2 linked regions of the Drosophila melanogaster genome follow. The protein of the gene in region 2 binds, or shares a complex with, the protein of the main gene of each other region. Each region holds a gene or a part of one and is shown on either strand. Other genes may lie near its edges.

Region 1 (5,337 bases), on a different chromosome or scaffold from region 2:
TGCAGGCGGAGCAGTTCCAGAGCGACGTGTCGTCGGAATCACCCAGGATAATTAATCGCCGACCTCAGCGCAAGTTCAAGAATGCCATTGCTATTGCCTCCGCCACCAAGCTGGAGGACCTCCATGACGATGTGGAGGATCTGCTGGCCAAGACGGCGATGGAGACCAGCGGCCAGGAAGTGCGTCAGCAGCGTCAACCGGCCAGCCGTCGCCGTCTTTTAGCACAATCATTTGTGAAACCTCAAACAGGTTTATAGTTATTTCATTAATTCAAAACATAAATTGGTTTTAGGCATGGATAGGTTTCAAGTTGTTTAATTACTAGTGTTTTGGACTCGCATTTTCTACTATAGATAGCTATTCAACTATGGCATTCAGGAACGCCCTAGCTTTGCAAACTAACTCACCGATACCGGACCTTTTGGCCATCGCAGGATGTTGGCCCGCAGACTCATTTCGACGACATCCCTCTTTACGGCGTACAATCGGCACAGGGAAACGGTGGTGAAGTTTTCGTCCGCACTCAGGCACTCGATGTTTGTGAACTTGGCAACTCCTTGGACCTGAAGTGAGCTAGTGTTCGGTTCATAATCCCAGCCGGCCTAGCTTACGGTCGAACTTGCCTGCAAAATGTGCCACAGCCCAAACAAGAGGAATAACTCTGTCAACGTGGCCATCACTAAGTTCACCAAAGAGCCATTAAAAACTGGCAAACTGTGGCATTATAATGTTGACGAAAGTGGCAAAAGCCAGTCAAGCGAAACCATAATCGATAGATATCAATCATTACGGGCAATTATCAATTCTGTTTAATTACTTGAACTTTCGAATTGTTGTTGAGTTTTAATTAAACAAAAACGTATGGGTCTGTATCCAACAGGCAGCACTTAACTAAACTAGGCGAATGTAAACTAGATTTGGGACATGGGTGTGTGAGGAGCGTGGTGTGTGTTTATGGAATTGATTTGTTGTGTTTATGGCCCTAATCACTGGCCTCATCTTCCTCATCCTCATCGCTGGCATTGCTGTCCTCCTCGCTCTCCTCCGGTTCGCTCTCGCTCTTGGCCTTTTTCTTCTTGGCATCGCCGTCGGATGGGGGCTTGCTCTTCTTCTTGGCAGGCTCGTTGTCCTTCTCGTCGTCGGAGCTGGTGGAGTCGTCGTCCGAAATGTACTCCTTGCTCTTGAAGCCGCTGCCCGAGGTATTCGCCTTCTTGGATGGAGAAGGCTCCGTCTTGCGCTTCTTGGAGGACTTTCCACCCTTCTCGTTGTCGCTGTCACCGCCCGCTTCAGGCTTGTAGTTGCGCATCTCGTCGTGGTAGCGCTGCTTGTCCTTGGCCGCCGCATCCTCCCACTTGGACTTGTCCTTCAGCTCCTTCCACATCTCGCCGCCCTTCTTGGCGATCTCGGTAACCTTTATGCCCGGATTTTCCCTCTTGATGCTCTCGCGCGTGTCGTTCAGCCAGAGCATGAAAGCGGTGGTGGCGCGCTTGGGTTTGCCAGAGTCCTTCTTCTTCTTGGAGGGTTTCTTCTATAAAAACATATAAAAACATGTTACCATAAGCTATAATAATAAGCAAACATTACTCACTGTTCTCTCCTTCTCCTTGTGTTTTTTCTCCTTTTTCTCTTTCTTCTCGGACTTCTTCTCCTTCTTTTTCTTGGCGCCGTCGCTGTCGCCTCCGCCGCCACTAGCATCGCTGTCATCGTCCGAATCACTCTCCACGTTGCTGTCATACTCCTCGGCCACATCGGACTCGTTCTCGTTGGGCTTGAAGTCCTCATCCGTGGACTCTTCATCCGAGTCGCCATCGTCGTCGTCCTCCTCCTTTTCCCTCGCCTCAGCCTTGAGGCGAGCCAGATAGGCATCTGGTTCGTTCTCGTTGTCCGAATCACCAAAGTCCACGTCCTTGTAGCCGCTCTTGTCCTTGCCCATGTTGCTGACATGCAACTTCTTCTGTGTGATGTAGTCGAAGAGCTTGGCATACTCCTCCTTCTCGATGGAGGAGAAGATGTGAACAGTTCCGTTCTTGAGCGTCACTTCGAAGTCGAAAGATCGCGTGGATCCGCCGCTGCGGGCAAAGTTCACAGAACTAATCTCCTCAAAGCGGATATGCAGCGGTGGCTTGTGGATATAGATGAATCCTCGCTCCAGGGGATACAGATATCCAGCTGCAGCCTTGAACGAGCAGCCCACTGCAGCCGTGCCAGAGTGTCCGATAAAGTTACCGGGTCCGGTAATTTTTCGACCGATCAGCACCTTCATCACTTTGCCCATCACCTCGTACACCGGCCCGGAGATCTCTTTCTCCAGCTTGCCCTCGTACTTGTCTCGCAACTCGGCTTCCGAGAATGGCAGCTCAATGGTGGTCTCCTCATCGGGAGCAAACAGCAGGACCAGGTAGTGGTAACGCGTTTGTCCCTGCTTGATGGGCGGATCCAAGGAGAGCACAAAGAACATCTGTCGACTGTCTTTGTGGGGCAGCATGAAGAGCCGCAGCACCGAGTCCATGGGAATCTTGTAGTCGAACGTCTTGCCGTGCAGCTGGAAGAAGGTCGAGAAGATCTTGATGTCATAGCGACCGCGAGGCGTGAGGATCTGGATCTCTCTGAAAATGGCGATGGACTCGCCCGAAGCCGAGATGACCGAGGCCTTGCTCATTACGTTCTGGTGGAACTTGTCTACCGGATCCTCCTCGGCCGACTCCACGGCGGGTATGTGGAACCGCATCTCCAGTAGACCCACGGGCGCATCGTCGTTTTGGTGGAACTCCAGGGTGACCTCGTTCTTGCCGGTCACGCACTGCGAAACGTGCGACAGCGGCACCTCGAAGATGGTCTTCGACTCCTTGTCGAAGCTCAGGACGGAGCCCATGAAGCGGGCGGTGCCCCAGTTCCAGCCCTTGACGCACATCTCCTTCTCGACCATCTCCTGCGAGTAGGCAGCCTTGATAAACTTGCCCAGCTTCTCGTGCTCGCTGTCGCGGAATCCGGTGAAGCGGTGGAGCACGCCGCCTTTGGTGAACACCCTCAGTCCCCAGGTGCCCACGAACTTCTGCGAATTGATCAGGTCTATGTCCTCTGCCGAGATCTGCTCCACCTTGCCGGTCTTGGTGTTCTTGAAGATGATGTTCTGCTCGGTCATCTTTAGGCGTCCGGAACACTTTTTTGCGCGCAGGGAAATGGAAAACCTCGGTCATGCGAAATGTGACAAAATACGCCGGCTTTTTTGCGACTCACCAAGACTCCGCGCACTTCGGCGTTTATGTCGTTGTACTCCAGAGAGTCTGTCATCCTGCACTTCTTCCTCTCCAGTAACAAGATAATAGATCAACTATGTATTACGCCGCCTTGCGAAATTGTCACCAATTTACAATAATTCCGGCAGACACAAAACAACACTGCGCGCCTAATTTTAGGTTAGACGCCAGTCAGCTATATTAGAGTGACCGTATGTGTGTTTAGTATTTTTGAGTGCACTATTCTTAAATTGCAATCGATATAAACTCTTAATATTCCAATGCAGTTTCCTTTATTGTTTATATATATCTTGTTTGCAATACATGAACAATATATGAGTCATTATTAAATTGAAAAATTTTAATGGGCAAGCCAGAGCTTATTTAAAGACCATAACAATTCGCTCGATCTTTTAAAATACCAAATTGACAGTCCGAATATAAACGGTCACTTAATTCACTTGTTTACAAAATATTTACCGCATATTTTCAGAGAAATATAGTTTTAATTAAAAATTTGAAAATCCACTTAGCGTGGGGCCTTAAAACTATGCAACGCGGTAAAATTTCCTTCGGGAAAATCAAACTGAATGTAAACGTACCTCCTGCGGAGCCAAGATCCAACGAAACCGAGGCGGAAGATGCAAAGGAGTCCACTGAAGCCAGCGGAAATGGCGGAGGATTCAAGAAAATGGACAAGGAGCAGATGATTCGGCAGATCGAGGACGTGGCCGAAGATCTGGAGAGCCAGCACCTCAAGGAAGTGATGGGCATCAGTGGCTTTGGTCGCAAGGCGGCCAAGGTGTTCGACATCAACGAGCAGATAGAAAAGGCGAGAGTTACCCGCCCGGGAATGGACAAAAAAAGGGAGGAGTCCAAGCCGAAGGAGGATGACCAGAAAGACGAGGAAGAGGAGGACGTAATAGGTCCCCTACCACCAGCTGTGACCACAGACAAGGAGAAAGCCACGAAGGAATCGTCCAAAGACGAAGACTCCGATGACGATGATTATTCGTCCGATGAAGATTCAGATGACGAACAAAGCCTTGCTAAGCGCATACCCTACACACACGAGGTGCAGATGCAGCACGGTTCCCGCGCTGTCCTTGCCCTGGCTGGCGATCCCTCGGGTGCCCGCTTGGTCTCTGGTTCCATAGACTACGATATGTGCTTCTGGGATTTCGCCGGCATGGACTCGAGCATGCGTAGCTTCCGGCAACTGCAGCCGTGCGAGAACCATCCCATACGTTCTCTCCAGTACTCCGTGACCGGCGACATGATCCTGGTCATCTCCGGAAACGCCCAGGCCAAGGTCCTCGACCGCGATGGATTCGAGAAACTGGAGTGCTGCAAGGGCGACCAGTATATCTCGGACATGTCGCGCACCAAGGGCCACGTGGCACAGTTGACCTCCGGCTGCTGGCATCCATTTAACAGGGAGCAGTTCCTGACCGCAGCTCTCGACGGTACTCTGCGCATCTGGCAGGGATTGAAGTCCAAGGAACAGTTGCAGGTGATCAAGACAAGGGCGCAGGGAGGCCTCCGCACCAACGCAGCATCATGCAACTTTAACAGGGACGCCACACTCATAGCAGCGGGCTGCGTGGATGGTTCCATTCAGACGTGGGACACGCGCAAGATGTTTGTGAACACCACGCACTGCGTCAGGGATGCGCATCAGAAGGGTTCGGAGATCACCTCCATTGTGTTCTCGTACATGGGTCAGCAGTTGGCCACTCGCAGCAACGACGAGACCATGAAGCTTTGGGATCTGCGGCAGTTCAAACAGCCGCTGCATACCTGGACAAACCTGTTCTCCCGCTACGACACAACAGATTGCTGCTTTAGTCCAGATGACCGTCTGCTAGTCACCGGAGAATCGCTTCCGAAGGGCCAGGCCGAAGCGAACCTGTATTTCTACAGCACTAAGAGCTACGAGGAAGTGCAGCGGATTCCCGTGTCCAACGCGCACGTGGTGAAAACGCTGTGGCACCCAAAGCTCAACCAACTGTTCGTGAGCTGTGGCAATGGAACCATTAAGTGCTATTACGATGAGCACCGCAGCATCCGGGGCGCCAAGCTGTGCGTAGTGAAGACGCAT
Region 2 (7,139 bases):
CCTTCTTCACTTCGCGCAGTTTTAGCTTTCGCCGTCGGCCCAAGCCCACGCCCACTCTATCCTCTGCCTCCGCTTCCACGACGTCTCCTTCGGTGCGGATGAACTACAAGATCTGCTGCGAGCACCGGCATTCGATTCAGGGCAAGCTACCCAGGTACACGGGCTACATGTCCGAGTACGGACTGACTGCCCAGCAACTGCAGCGGCGCGACCAGCAACTGCGGCGGAAGCAGCGCTTCTCCATGGAGCAGACCATCAATCGCAACGAGCAGGAGCTGAAGAAGATGCAGGACAACGAGCGCGCCTTCACCACCTGGCTGAAGAACAAGATGCGCTATCCGATCAACAAGACCCGCAACATGTTCGATGCGCACAAAAGGCGGGGTAGTGTGGCCGCCGCCGGAAGTCCGCGCCAGCATCCCCAAGCTCATCCGCATCTGCACCAGGAGCAGGAGCAGCGCGGCGGACGGCGAAGGCGGCGGCGCGACAGCGGGGAAGTGGAGGTGCACGCCTATCGGCATCTGCTCGGCAGCTGGAACAAGTAGGAGTAATGTAGTTCTTACATTAGTTTATTATATTAATGTATCGTATTATATTTAATTTGTAATACAACTTTTGAAGCGTGACAAAAATGAGTGACGGGGGATTGGGGTGGCGGGTCCTTTAACAGATAGACAATGGTAACAGGAGAGCTAGATTACGAACGGAGTGCCACACAGGCTTGGCGACAGGAACAGCTCCCTAATGTCGCGACTTCTTCGACTTGTGCCCATTGTCGCGACTGTCATCCCGCGAGCGCTTGCGATCCTTGTCCTTGCTGCTGCTCTTGTTTCCGGACGATGAGGAGGAATGATGCTTGTCCCGGCTGTTGTACTTGTCCTTCGACGACTTCGACGGGCTTTAAAATAATCAAGGGAATTTGGAAATGTGTTAAAAGAAATTTCACAAATAATTACTCCTCTGTGGTTATCAATTTTGAGCAAGCGAGTTATGATGCTGTTCTTTTTTTTTCTTTCTTTTTATCAATTTTGCCAGACTGAACAATCATAAATAATTCAACATAAACCCAAACAGAAAGTGGTTGTAAACGGATGGAATTTGGGGTATCCCTATCCAAAACTTGCCAAGCCAACACCAGAAATAAATAATATCAACAAAAAATAACTCTTAAAAACGTCCAATTGCTTGGTTTTTTGTTCCACCAAAGAAGAAAATCAAATTTATAACGAAACTTCCAGTGTGTAATGGTTTGTGAGTGAAAAATGATATGTGAAATGCACTTGCGTTAGGCCGTATGGTTGGGTATTAAGTGTTCGGGGCTTTCGATAACAAACCTAGATGAGCTGCCATGTTTGGAGCTGGAGGACTTTAAATGCGAAGAGGACGAGGAGGAGTTCGACTTGTGCTTTTTACTGTGCGACGACGATCGAGCCTCCTCGCGGTCGCGGCGACTGTGGTGGACGTAAAATGTTGTAGAACGATTGATATAGATAAGAGAAAGGAGATCTCGGATAAGGTAACCCTTAATGGAAACCCGTCCATGATGGGATCGTGGCTCATACCTGTGCTTTGAACTCTTGCCGTGCTTCTTCGAATCGAATTTGCCGTTGCGTGGTTTGTCATCTGCGGCATAATCGTGGTTGCGGTCTTCCTCAGCAGCCTCGCGCTCCAGATCGGACCAATCCTTGCCAGATTCCTCATCAGAGCCAAGGTCCTCTGTAAATTATGATGAAAATATTAACCAACTAGAAGATATGGAATGTTTTGGGTTTGTGCATACCATCGCTTTCCTCGCTGTCTTCTGATGCCTCTGAGTACTCGGAATCTTCGTCCGACTCCTCATCCGATTCGGCGTCGGTGGGATTGTAGGCCTCGTCCTCTTCGGATTCGGCGGTTTCGTTTTCGCCTTCGCTGCCCGATTCCGGGTCCAAGAATGTCCAGCCGCCTTGTTCAAAGAATCCCTCAGGATCGTCGGTGATGGTCTTCATGATCTTTTGCCAGTTCAGGGATTGAACACCCTCCGAATAGCGGATGTCGCAGGAGCTACAGGATACTCATTAGTAAAAGTGCATTTTGCAAATGGGCAGATGAACTTACTTGAGCCACTCCTTCACGTGATCCAGCATGTTCATAGGAATGGCGTTCACCATGGCAACCTTCTTATTGTACTCCTTGAACACAAATATCATATCGAAGTTGCGCAAGTGGAACTGAACGCGCTCGAAGTGCACCAACTCCACATCGTCCAGCGTGATGACAAATGGTGGCCATTCCGTCAGATTGACCAGGGAGCCCGAGGTGGGTTGCAGCGTCACCGTGCTGCGGAAGGGTGCTCCAGGGAATCCCAACTCACGGAACGGCGTGTCGAACTCCACTACCGACTTGGTCATGGTTTCCACCTTCTCGCAGAAGCTCTTGAAGGCAGTCTTGAGCTTGTGCCGCAGCTCACGTTCTGCCTGCTCAGCAGCCAAGTCGTCGCGGTCGTGCATGTGCTGGTGCTTGCCCAGATCCGTGGTGATCTCTCCCACTTCCGTGTAGAACTGTACATCCACGTGCTTCTTTTTGCCAAACATAATGGCGTACTTCAGGTGGAAATGCAGAAGAATGATCATCTCGCCATCGCAGGGCTGGAAAAACGCGCTTTTGATGTTGTTGTACAAGATGTCCACCTTGTCGCCGCGCACGGAGATGTAGCGGAATCCATTGCTGTGCGCTTCCAGGCTGCCCGTCATGCGCTTGGTCACGATGTTGGGCCGAATGTATAGGTCCTTCAGCTTGGGATTACCCTTGTTCTGGGACAGAATGAGTGTGTCTTGCTTCACAAGATCCTCCTTTTCGCGCTCCTCAGCCTCGCGGGTCTTGAAGCGCTTCTGCACCTCCTTGATCAGCCGGAAAGCATTGTTTAGATTTGCGGATGGAGCTCCCACCTCCCCGTGTTCCTTAACATTAGAGCTGCGGTATGTACTGCAGGAAAAGTGTCTAGTTAGTGCATTCCTTAAGCAGATTTCGCACTATACTTACACTTCCTTGACAAATGTGGCCTCTGGCTGAGGATAGAGTCCGCCTTCGTTGCGACCCATTGTGGCGCCGGGATGAAAGAAGTTGATACGCAAGTACGTGTACTCGCCCTCCACCGACTGCGAGATGTTCTTGATGGTGGATATATGGAACGGCACCTGGATGCCGAACACTGGCATGATGACGGTCTCGTACTTCTTATCCACGTAAAGCTTGAGCTCCTTGACTTCCGGCTCGCGCGGCATTTGGCTGATGGACTTGTAGGAGACGGTGTTCTTGCGCACTTTCTCGACCTCCTTCGAGTTTCCCTGCCTGGCCAGCCGATCCTTGGCGCGCTCGTTCAGCTGCTGAGCCAGCTCGCGCTGGTGCTCCTTGCGCTTCTCCTCCGTGTTGATCTCGTTTCGCAGCTTTGACTCCAGCACCGCGTTGCGCTTGCTGCGGCCCAGGATCTCGGTGCCCTGATCTTCTTTAGCGGTCTTCTTGTCGTCCACATCTTCCTCGTCGCTGTCGTCCTTGATAAAGATGCCGACGTTCTTGATCTTCTTCTTGGACGGAGTCATCACACTGGCTGGGGATTGTTCGCCTACTAGCACAGTGTCTCCGATGAAGAGGGCGTAGTTCTTGCCCTCTTTGTCGGTGGCTTCGGGATTGGTCAGATTCGAGATGCCCACGTGCAAATTAAAGACCATATTCTTCTTGAGTAGCGCCTGGCATTTGGGTCCGATGACAATGGAGTTCTCCCGGAACTCTAGGCCCATGGCGAAACCAAAGCTTTTGGGCAGATTGTCCACCATACTCGGCTTCTCCTTCTTCACGAAGTCCAGGGTCTTTTCGTAGACGTCGCACAGCTTTGTGCCCGGAACCAGCAGCTTGAGAATCTCCTCCTGCACACTTACCAGAAATGTGTAGTTCTCCTGCATGGCCTCGGTGGGATTCACCAGAAAGGTGCGCGATATATTTGAGCAATACGACTTGTAGCGGGCGCCCAAGGAGCACACAATCACACCGAAGTGCAAGGGATTTTTGTCCGCCACCGCGGAGAACTTCAGGCTGTAGGCTCCTCCCGATTGGATGATGGGTGGGTAGGCCATATCGAGGAGTCTGGGATCCAGACCACTGGTGTACTTCTTCTCGCCAATGGCAGCCTCGCAGCCATCTGAGAGCTTGTTGTGTTTGACTTTCTAAAAAGGAGGTTAAAAAGGTTAATATATTAGGAAAACACATAATATTATAGCCGCCAGGTGCTCACCCTATCCGAATCAATAATGTCCATGATCTCATCTTTCAAATACTTGTTGAAAATGTCCATTGACACTAGCGATGCCTTGCGTATGTTGTTGATCTCCGACTCATCCTTGGGACACATGAGGTAGGCGATAATAGTGCTAATGTCCACATGCTCGAACTTGGACGCCGTCAGGGATTTCTTCCATGCTTCGCTGAACTCCCCGGGATAGGCGTCCTTGGCGAAGACGCCCAAACGCTTGCCCTTCTTCGAGTTTTGCAGGGCTTTGATGAGCTTCTCGAAGTTGCCCTGGTCCTTGTCCGTCTTCTCGAAGTCAAGATCAGAAAGGATTAGAGAACTTTTGGCCTGGAGCAGAAATCGAAACTCACCCGATCCCTAACAAGCAGATTGATTTCCGGAAAACCTTCTTCGGTGATGTTCTGCGTCTGCTTCAGGAATTCTATTTTCTTTTTGCTAGTGAGAAAATACACGGCATCCGAGCAAAACACTGAGATGGTGTCCGTCAGCTCGTAGCCCAGCAGCCAGAGCTGCAGGGCCATGGACTTGGAGTACATGACATCCTCTTCGACGCCCACGATGCTCATGATGCAGTCCAGATTCCTGAGCGCGTCATCGTGTCCGATGCTGGGAGCCTGCGAAAGACAAAGAGTCCGATATTATTATGCAGTAATCCTCTTTTCCCCAAACAACCTGGTCTATGGGTAATTAATTTCACCACATCTCCCAATCTTTCATTATCGTGACCCGTCTGCAGAGTCTCCACGTGCTCCCCGGTGCTCCTGCGGCCCCAAAAACACGCAGATCGCCGACCGGCGGACAGACTCACCCTCCATTCCGTGTAGAGGCGTTTCACGCGGCGCACGAACGCCTCCTTGTCCAGCACAAAGCTCGACATATTGCCGCCGGATTTGTTACTGTGTATGCGTTAACTCCGCTTAAAATGCGCTAAACGCCAGAAATTGCATTTGCAAATTCCGCCGGATAAAAAAATTGCGCGGCGACCAGATGAAGAAGAAGCAGAATAAGCGTCAGCTCGACGTGAGTGAGACCGCTCTCAAAAATACCGTAATATACCAGTTGTCAATGTAAAAATAGTGTAACCAAGCAACAGTACAGACACGTCTAGCAGGGACTCGAACCATATATGAACATTTTACGCGCTAAAAATTGGTGCACTGAAAAAAATGTTTAAAACTGGATTTAATTAAAAATGTGTCTCGCCAAAAATACATTTTTACATTAAATAAAAGACTTTGGCACAGGCTTCGTTTAAATATAGCTAATTTTATTATTGTTTTCTTCAGTATTATCAACATTTGCAATTACGTACTGTGACGGCTAATATGTGAGTTCGTTGAACTTGATTCATTGGTTTTTAGCAAAGTCTAAGAATTCAGAGCTAGTTTAATTCTTTGTGCCCGCCGGACTTTCGGCCTCATCCGGCCGGGCAACCTGCAGATACTCCTGGATATCGTAGTCGAACAGCTCGAAGTCGTATCTGTGGGGAGGAATTTTAACTTGTAAGTATGCTACCATAATCTAAAAATTTAAATGGATGACCCACTTGTAATACTCGTAGAGCTCCAGCATTTCCTGGCGTGTCAGCTGCGCATAGAACTGCTGCTGGAGCTCGTGCGTCTTGCGGCCCTTGCCCATGTTGCGCCACACGGGCGCTATCACCCGCTTGAGGCCAGTCTTTTCGATTAGATATAATTGATCCTCCGCCAGCGATTCGAACTTCAGTATCATGTCGAACCGGATGAGGCAGGGTGTGCAGAACGAGGTGGCCGCCACGAAGTGCATGTCGATGAAGCTGCCGCGCTTCACCTGGTCGAGCAGCCAGTGCACGAATTCCGGAAACGATGGGAACTTTGTGTTGGCCGCACGGGCAGCCAGTGACGGCTATTGGATAAAATACAATGTATTAGATGCATTCGATGCGTATACTTGATATTGCTATTGCAACAATATCGTGTATACGCAGTGGGTTACAGTCGAAATGCTTACCTTCTTGCGGTAGTTGCGCACAATGCTGCGTCCCAACTTATCGTGGAAGGAGTAGGGCAGGGCGAACACCATCTTGTCCCGATAGGCACTCAACAGCCGCTCGAAGGGATCGCGTGCGATGATAAAGGTCACCGAGTAGTTCTGTGCCTCACGCAGCTGTCGCCCGAAATAGAAAGAGTTTAATTTAGGTTTGAGGAAGGGGATTAAGAACTCCTTTCGAGACGCACCTCGTCGAGGGTCACCCTGGGATAGCGCTCCCTGGCCAGGTTGAGAAGGATCTTCTTGGTTTTGCGCAGATAGCTGGGCGAGTAACCGGCCAGGACGTTGAAGTTGAACATCCAGGACGATGAGGCAGCCTTAAAGACATTGCACCTGCACGGAAAATAAATAGTAAGTTAAGATCCTATTTGTCAAATCCGAATGACACACTAAAATGGAATCGTTGAAGAGTGAATAAAGGGCACACCCACCAGATAATGTGATACTTTTTGTTGACCAAAAATTCCCACGTGTTCGGCGTGTGCCACGCGTCGTGACCTGTAAATAAAACACAAGCGATCAGACCCCAATCCATTTGGCGAATCCAAAGCGAAGGACCCACCCAGGACATCCAGGCCGTAGGCGGAGCACTTGTCCTTTAGCCGCTCCCTGCGCTGGTCCATCCGCTGCTCCACCTGGAGCATTTCCTGCGGCGTGAGTGTCTGCACGGCATGCTCGGGGATGAGGGGCAGGAGTGTCTGGTTGCTGTCCTGTTTGGAGGGCAAATATGCGAAAGGTGAGCCACAGTGAGTCCAGTACATGGGTTTCTCGACCGGAATGGGGCTAGAGAATGGGGGGTGGGGTGCCCAAATGCCTGCCAATGCGACTC

What was found.
Region 1: dre4 (region 2) and Ssrp share a complex: the UniProt entries of both Drosophila melanogaster proteins name them as parts of the FACT complex.

Annotation. Positions count from the first base shown.
Region 1 is NT_033778.4:23,805,573-23,810,909, forward strand, and holds Ssrp (structure specific recognition protein), read right to left. Parts: upstream 3,433-5,337; 5' UTR 3,292-3,432; coding exon 3,238-3,291; intron 3,161-3,237; coding exon 1,589-3,160; intron 1,529-1,588; coding exon 983-1,528; 3' UTR 789-982; downstream 1-788. Other genes in the region: CG13561 (uncharacterized protein), read right to left, coding at 408-563, 624-677; CG5539 (uncharacterized protein), read left to right, coding at 1-257; CG5543 (uncharacterized protein), read left to right, coding at 3,787-5,337. UniProt on the Drosophila melanogaster protein: Component of the FACT complex, a general chromatin factor that acts to reorganize nucleosomes. The FACT complex is involved in multiple processes that require DNA as a template such as mRNA elongation, DNA replication and DNA repair.
Region 2 is NT_037436.4:1,871,020-1,878,158, forward strand, and holds dre4 (dre4), read right to left. Parts: upstream 5,294-7,139; 5' UTR 5,160-5,293; coding exon 5,091-5,159; intron 4,897-5,090; coding exon 4,633-4,896; intron 4,568-4,632; coding exon 4,268-4,567; intron 4,200-4,267; coding exon 3,022-4,199; intron 2,965-3,021; coding exon 2,098-2,964; intron 2,044-2,097; coding exon 1,781-2,043; intron 1,717-1,780; coding exon 1,563-1,716; intron 1,452-1,562; coding exon 1,335-1,451; intron 899-1,334; coding exon 742-898; 3' UTR 555-741; downstream 1-554. Other genes in the region: CG13924 (uncharacterized protein), read left to right, coding at 1-545; CG13937 (uncharacterized protein), read right to left, coding at 5,669-5,762, 5,829-6,166, 6,272-6,427, 6,499-6,643, 6,742-6,808, 6,873-7,020. UniProt on the Drosophila melanogaster protein: Component of the FACT complex, a general chromatin factor that acts to reorganize nucleosomes. The FACT complex is involved in multiple processes that require DNA as a template such as mRNA elongation, DNA replication and DNA repair.